Linked DNA regions of Drosophila melanogaster. The protein of the gene in region 2 interacts with the protein of the main gene of each other region in a biochemical or structural test. Each region holds a gene or a part of one and is shown on either strand. Other genes may lie near its edges.

Evidence for each region.
Region 1: the proteins of Ilp2 (region 2) and ImpL2 form a complex in vitro, tested with the Drosophila melanogaster proteins (2 studies listed by BioGRID, with this or other methods).

What each region holds. Positions count from the first base shown.
Region 1 is NT_037436.4:4,224,170-4,227,962, forward strand, and holds ImpL2 (Ecdysone-inducible gene L2), read right to left. Parts: upstream 1,782-3,793; 5' UTR 1,724-1,781; coding exon 1,715-1,723; intron 1,538-1,714; coding exon 758-1,537; intron 683-757; coding exon 668-682; 3' UTR 541-667; downstream 1-540. Other genes in the region: CG46460 (uncharacterized protein), read right to left, coding at 2,512-2,607. UniProt on the Drosophila melanogaster protein: Essential developmental role during embryogenesis, in particular the normal development of the nervous system. May be involved in some aspect of cell adhesion.
Region 2 is NT_037436.4:9,797,932-9,801,084, forward strand, and holds Ilp2 (Insulin-like peptide 2), read left to right. Parts: upstream 1-1,766; 5' UTR 1,767-1,832; coding exon 1,833-1,995; intron 1,996-2,068; coding exon 2,069-2,319; 3' UTR 2,320-2,509; downstream 2,510-3,153. Other genes in the region: Ilp1 (Insulin-like peptide 1), read left to right, coding at 503-967; CG32052 (uncharacterized protein), read left to right, coding at 1,240-1,315. UniProt on the Drosophila melanogaster protein: Possible ligand of InR/insulin-like receptor. Plays a role in regulating body size by increasing cell size and cell number of individual organs.

The DNA.
Region 1 (3,793 bases), 5.6 Mb from region 2:
CTTATGAAACTGATTAATTCCGTGAATACTATTCAGTGATTCTGTATGGGTGGCGATGCTGAATGAATTTGGTCGATCAATAAATTAGTTGTAGAAATGATGGGTGCACATAAATACGAATTGGGTGGGTGATTGACTGATTGATTGGTTGATTGACTGTGGCTTGTGCCACGAGTCATAAGTGCTTCTTGGGCTGCAGTGCCCTTAAGTAAACGGCCAATTAGTTTAAATACGTTAACTAGTGCTGCCTGAATCGCTAGGAACAATCATTGCTACTTACAAAGAACCAAAGAAGCGTGATTACAAGCCGATAACTAAAGCTATAATTGAAGAAAACCATAAAGTAGGTGCTATAATTCGAATGCTCTAAATGTGACTGATATTCGAGGATAATAAGTGGGAAAATTAGTGTCTAAGCCGGCATTAGATACGGTTAATTACCTGGACTACGAGCTAGATTGTGCTTAATCTAAATTGTACATAATTGTAAATCGTATGACCTTTTGATCCATCATATTTTTTTTTGATTTTTTTTTTTTTGTATTTTTTCTAAGCATATTTCATTTCTTTTCACGCATCTTCGAAGGCATTTGATCTATCTAACTAACTAGATGAATTTCCGTCGTCAATCCAATAGCCTTTTGTTTTTTATTTGGTGGTAGGATCTTTAGTCTTCCTCATTCTGCAAGGACAAGAAAAATACGTAGGGATTACTTAGGATGAGTTGGTATAACCCGGCGGGTAGGGGAATACTTACAAGTACGGGATACACGAAGGTATCGGCGGTATCCTTTCCGACGACGTTGCGGGCTATGCACTTGTAGTTGCCCATATCCTCCCACTTGATCTCGGAGATCAGAAGATCGCCGTTGGCCAGCACCCTGTGGCGATGTCCTTGGACGATCTCCTTGTTCTCGTTATTCAACCAGGTGATCTCGGCGCGGGGACGGGCGTGCACGCGGCAGGGCAGCTGAATGTTGGAGCCCATGAGGTCCAGATGCGTCTTCTCGGTGTAGATGATTCGCGGTTTCTGGGCACCCGGGTAGGTCTTCTCCGGCGTCAGACGAGAGGAGCGAGGAGGATGCACCACAGTGCTGGCATAGATGGTCTTGGAGCCAGTGCGTCCCACACACGTGTAGGTGCGGGCCTCGCTCAGCACGTGGTCGATGATATGCGACGATCGGACGCGCACAATGGCACTGGGCGCCTCTTCGGCAACCTGGTTGGAGTCCAGATCATCGAGCTCCGAGCGGGGCAGGTGACCCACCACCCACTGGATGCTGGGCACTTGGGAGCCCATCATCTCGCAAACGATCTCGATGGTGGCTCCATCGGCCTGCTGCAGCTTCGTCGGCGGCGTCTTGGTGAACTTGAGCCAGTCGGCTTCGAAGGCTCGGTTGCGTGGCTTCTCCTCCTCCGCCTCGATGGAGTTATCCACGTCGTTGCTATCGTCTACCAGGTCCACGGCTCTTCCGCGGACAGTGGCGATGCTGCCGAACAGCAGCAGCGCTAAGGCGCACACATGTAAATTCATTTTCTGCAAGATCGATAGAGAGAGTGGAAATCGGAAGTGAGTTCAAAGTTCAACAGCGGCACTCGTACGACTCTAATATAGGTTATTAAACCCCAGAGCAACGTGATGCGATTAGCCCGACTTTTCAGCCAGTCATGCATCCCCCCACCACCCCACCACCCCACTTCCCCCACTCATCACCGCCTCCATTAATCAGGGGAGGTCTCCGAGTCTATTTCCCCGATAAGAACGCAAGGCCTTCAGTCGGCGGGCTCTAGAACATTACTAACACTTGCGAAATGTGCTAATGGCTCTCGGAGTCCGGAATTTAGATTCGGAATCCTTTTCCGGCCCCTAAGAGATGTGCTCGGTCCAAACGTAGATGAATGTATTTCACAATGACACGTCACCAGACAACAAGAATTGACAAAAGAAAATGATATAAGATTCTTGCGTGGGCCGAATCAGAGGCAGAAATCGAAAACGGAAAACGGAATGACTCGCGGAGTGTGACGTCAATTTAAATTCGAATTCTACAGCCCGATTCGGATTCACACACTCACCCACGCTTCAGCCGCAGATCAAGGGCCAATGTGTCCCCATAGTCTAGACTGGACAAACTGCGTGACCGATTAATTATTCAAATAGTTTCGAGGGTATTATGTATGTACATACGCTTGTATGTATGAATTAGTAGTAGCCCCACAAAAAGTCATTCGCCAATCGCTGGCGAATGTTGCATCAGACGGTCTTTGCCCTTCGACGGTGATTTTTGTATCTTTGGGCATTTCTACGAATTCGAATTTTGAAAAAAAAAAAACAAACGAAAAACGGAACACGAAACTGCGTTCGGCGGCAATCACCTATCTATTGTTAACGCACATTACTCACCCTTTGATTTGATTTCTTTTTTCTCTTCCGGTAAAAAATGTTTGCAAATTTCTCCCCAACGTTGGACGATGATAGATCAGGTAAAGCAGAAGCAGGTCGGCTTATCGTTATGTTATGAACGAATTTATCAGCTCTATGTTGTGATGGCTCCTGGTCTGGGCTTTCTGGTTGAAGTTGAGCAGCAGCTGGCTTAGCACTGACATAGGTCCGGCGCTGGATGCCGTCTTGGAGGTCGTGCAGCTCAGTGTTGGTGGAATCTTGGCTGCTTGCCGGTCTGTCTTGGGCGACGAGGATGGATCGTATTGAAACGTCTGGGTGCTGTGCTCGGGAGTGGCGCTTCAGGATCGGGATAAGGATCGAGTAATTGGGTAGCGGAAGCGTGTTAATCTCAGGCGGCGTAGCGAATATCTAGCTGACTACTTTGGCACATTCGATCCTCGTGGCGGTATCAGTGCTCCTTCGATGTGGACGTGGACTTGGTCTGGTACTTCTTGATGGTTGTCTGGTTGGCGCGGCACTCGTTTGAATACGCACGGTTCATCGACATTACACTCGAGTCAAGGTGTGTTGGTTTTTGGTTTTTGGGGGGGATTGCTGCTGCGAATGCGGTTCACGGCGAATTGAAAAGCGAGGATCGCGGATCGGCTTAGTTAACTTCGGATCAGTTGGCTTCGGCGGCTCTCAAAAGTCGTGTTCAACAGCTGGAAACTGTAACAGAACTGAATTGGTGGCCGCAGCGCTGTTCCATTTATATGCGACGCCGGCTCACTCACACACACACACAGACAACAGACACACACACACACACTCTCACTCACTCGCCGCTCTCTCTCTGCTCGTTCTCGGATCGTAATTCTTTATGCGACCGCCGCACCGGGAAGGTGCGGAACAAAACAGATATAACCGGACGGGGGGTTCGATTATCCGCCTCGGGATCTGTCTTTCCACCGCCTAATTGCGTCCGCAGTCCAGAGTTGGTGGTTTGGAAACTGAGGTGTCTCACAAGGATAGCTCAATGACTTTCCAGCCCATATACCATTTCATTTCGATCTTGACAATTAACATTGTCATCTTATGCAAGTTGTTGAGAACATACAACAGTGTTCGAGATCCTATGACTTTCTATCACATGTAAGTAAAATTAATTAACCCTACATATAAAGGTGCTTCACACTACTCTGTTAATATTCATGAATCATTTCGACGAAGTGCAAAGTATCAACCGTATATTATTCGTTTAGCTTACTGAATTAGCACTGTAGTTGTCAAAACCATTAATTAAAACTCCATGGTTTCGAATTCATTCGAACGAATTAATTTTGTAATCCATAACCAATCTCCCAATTAATAACCACCCATGGGAATCAGAACTTAAAGCCCGTTGACGGT
Region 2 (3,153 bases):
CGGCAATGTAACAGGTTGGGCGAACGGGTTATGCTTTGAAGTGGGCGGATTTTTTGGCGGTGATTACACTGAAAACTATGCTCGATAAAGCTGTGTGCATCAATTCACACTTTAGAGCAAGTCCCATAAGGCTAACTCTTCTGAATATCTTAAAAATGTCTTACAAATACATTCCAAACTATTGGTATAGATAGATATAGGTAATGATACAACTGATATTTGCTAAGAAATACAATACAATACCCCAACTACCAAAACAACAGTGCATCGCTTTTCCATCCAAATTGGGGAGTAGAGCTAGAAATAGAGTTTGCATTTTTAGGGGAAAAACGGTACCTGAAACATGGGTGATCAAAGGATTTGCAGTTTGTACGCCCGTGGGGCTTGCTATGCCACTGCAATGCTAGACTGCAGAAGAGGCCATTGAACTGCATTAGCTAGCGCTTCCGATTTAGTGGTATAAATACCAGTTGCAGCCCAGAGCATTCACTGCATATCCAAGATGTTTAGCCAGCACAACGGTGCAGCAGTACATGGCCTTCGGCTCCAGTCGCTGCTCATCGCAGCCATGCTCACCGCTGCAATGGCAATGGTCACGCCGACTGGCAGTGGTCACCAGTTGCTGCCCCCCGGAAACCACAAACTCTGCGGCCCCGCACTGTCCGATGCCATGGATGTGGTGTGTCCCCATGGCTTTAATACGCTGCCAAGGAAACGTGAAAGCTTGCTGGGCAACAGCGACGACGACGAGGACACGGAGCAGGAGGTGCAGGATGATAGCAGCATGTGGCAGACACTGGACGGGGCAGGATACTCTTTTAGTCCACTGCTAACCAATCTGTACGGATCCGAGGTCCTGATCAAGATGCGTCGCCACAGGAGACACCTGACCGGTGGCGTCTACGACGAGTGCTGCGTCAAGACCTGCAGCTACTTGGAGTTAGCCATCTACTGTCTACCGAAATAGGACACTTGGCCAACACACACACATTCATTACCCAGCATGCATACACATACATACATACATACGAACACTTGAACATGGCATTCCCACATACATACTATATGTACACCCGTTCTCCTAACAGCATTCGTAATCCAATTCGTAATCACTTATTTATGCAGCACCAACTTTGACTAATGAATAAAAGTAGACAGTGCAAAAAGAAGAATTTGTGTGAGCGGCAAAGACAAGACAGTCAAAGGAAAAGTACCAAGGAGGCGTAATTCGTTGCCAGGATGCTGCTGGCTCCAATCAGCTGGCTCGGGTTCTTGTTGGCCTACTCCGGCCTGCCGGGCGCCCAGGCGCGGATTGGTAAGTATAGGGTAGAAATGGTAGAGGCAAACGGGCTGTAAAGGCGAGGTAACTTTAAGACCAAGGACTTATTTGGTATTCATAAATGCAGGGCTTAGTACGGCCTGGCTGTTTATACATAAATTGTTTAATTGGCTGACAGCAAAACGCCCACAAAGCCCTTCTTCTCCCAAACACAGCCACCCAAAAACCACCCACAATTTTCCAATAGCCATTTGCATAAGTCAGCTTTGACATTGAATGAGTTTAGCCAGGCGTTAGAGAGAAGAGCCAACTCCGGAATGCACTCATCGCATCCTAACACAATTTGACAACCTGACTTTTGAGGATAACATGTGTGTGGATCCAGACCCCGACCCCGAGAGACCGACCCCGACCCAGACCCAGTTTAAGTTTCTTACGAGGCAGTATATAAGCCAGTTACTTTGGGCCAAACATCATCAGTTAGCTTTCGACCCGGCTCGACCCAACTTAATCCATTTGATCGTAAAGCAACCTAAGCAGTAAACCCATAACCATGAGCAAGCCTTTGTCCTTCATCTCGATGGTGGCCGTGATTTTGCTGGCCAGCTCCACAGTGAAGTTGGCCCAAGGAACGCTCTGCAGTGAAAAGCTCAACGAGGTGCTGAGTATGGTGTGCGAGGAGTATAATCCCGTGATTCCACACAAGCGCGCCATGCGTAAGTTCTTACAAGGATGCAGATCCTCAAGCTGGCTTTGCTAGATCTACATTGTATCCACGATTTTTATTAGCCGGTGCCGACAGCGATCTGGACGCCCTCAATCCCCTGCAGTTTGTCCAGGAGTTCGAGGAGGAGGATAACTCGATATCGGAACCGCTGCGAAGTGCCCTCTTTCCTGGGAGCTATCTTGGGGGTGTACTCAATTCCCTGGCTGAAGTCCGGAGGCGAACTCGCCAACGGCAAGGAATCGTGGAGAGGTGCTGCAAAAAGTCCTGTGATATGAAGGCTCTGCGGGAGTACTGCTCCGTGGTCAGAAATTAGGCCTCCTAATGCGAAAATCATTGACCCCAACTGACCTGGTCGACGCGATTATCTCTGGATCTGGTTCCAAACCAACCATGTGCATATATACTACAATCGATGTTTTTTACAGCTTGTTGCATGTTACTCTTTACGAATGATCGAAATGGATTAAATATATATTCTGCTTTAAGCTTTGGCAAACAATCGCAAATGCTACTTTATATTATTATTAATTTGGGACGTTACATTTATTATTATCATTATATGATATATATGTTGATTATTACACTTGAATAAAAAGCGATATAACACAAGTATTCAGAAATCTAAAATGAATATATCTTTTTTTCTATTAAAACTAAATTTATTGAAAACAAAAAAAATCTTAAAAAAACTTGAAACAATTTAAACCATTCATTCATTTCCAAAACTTGTTTCTGTCTTAATACAGTAGGCAATCCAATTGCAATTCAAAAGTTAGTCGCATGTGGGAAATTTCCAAATTTTAGTTCATAGCTTTTTTCGTACTTCGTTTATCGATGATTATATCATCCGTAAAGAAGTAATTGATCAAATCTTATAATCAAAACATTGACTTACTTTTATGTTGACCTTAAAAGTCGAGTATTTCTAGTCGCGGTTGGCCGATTTTATAGCAATACTCATAATTTAATCGTTCTGTGTAGTTGTAAATTAGAAGATTATTACATTTTGAAAGCTAAAATAAACGGAATCAACTAAATTCATGCAGACCTTAAATAACAATCACGCATTACCAAATGCAAGGCATTAAAAGTGCAAAACGGATAATCTTAGTAAATTAACTAAAATATTAATAAATATCGTTTTAAA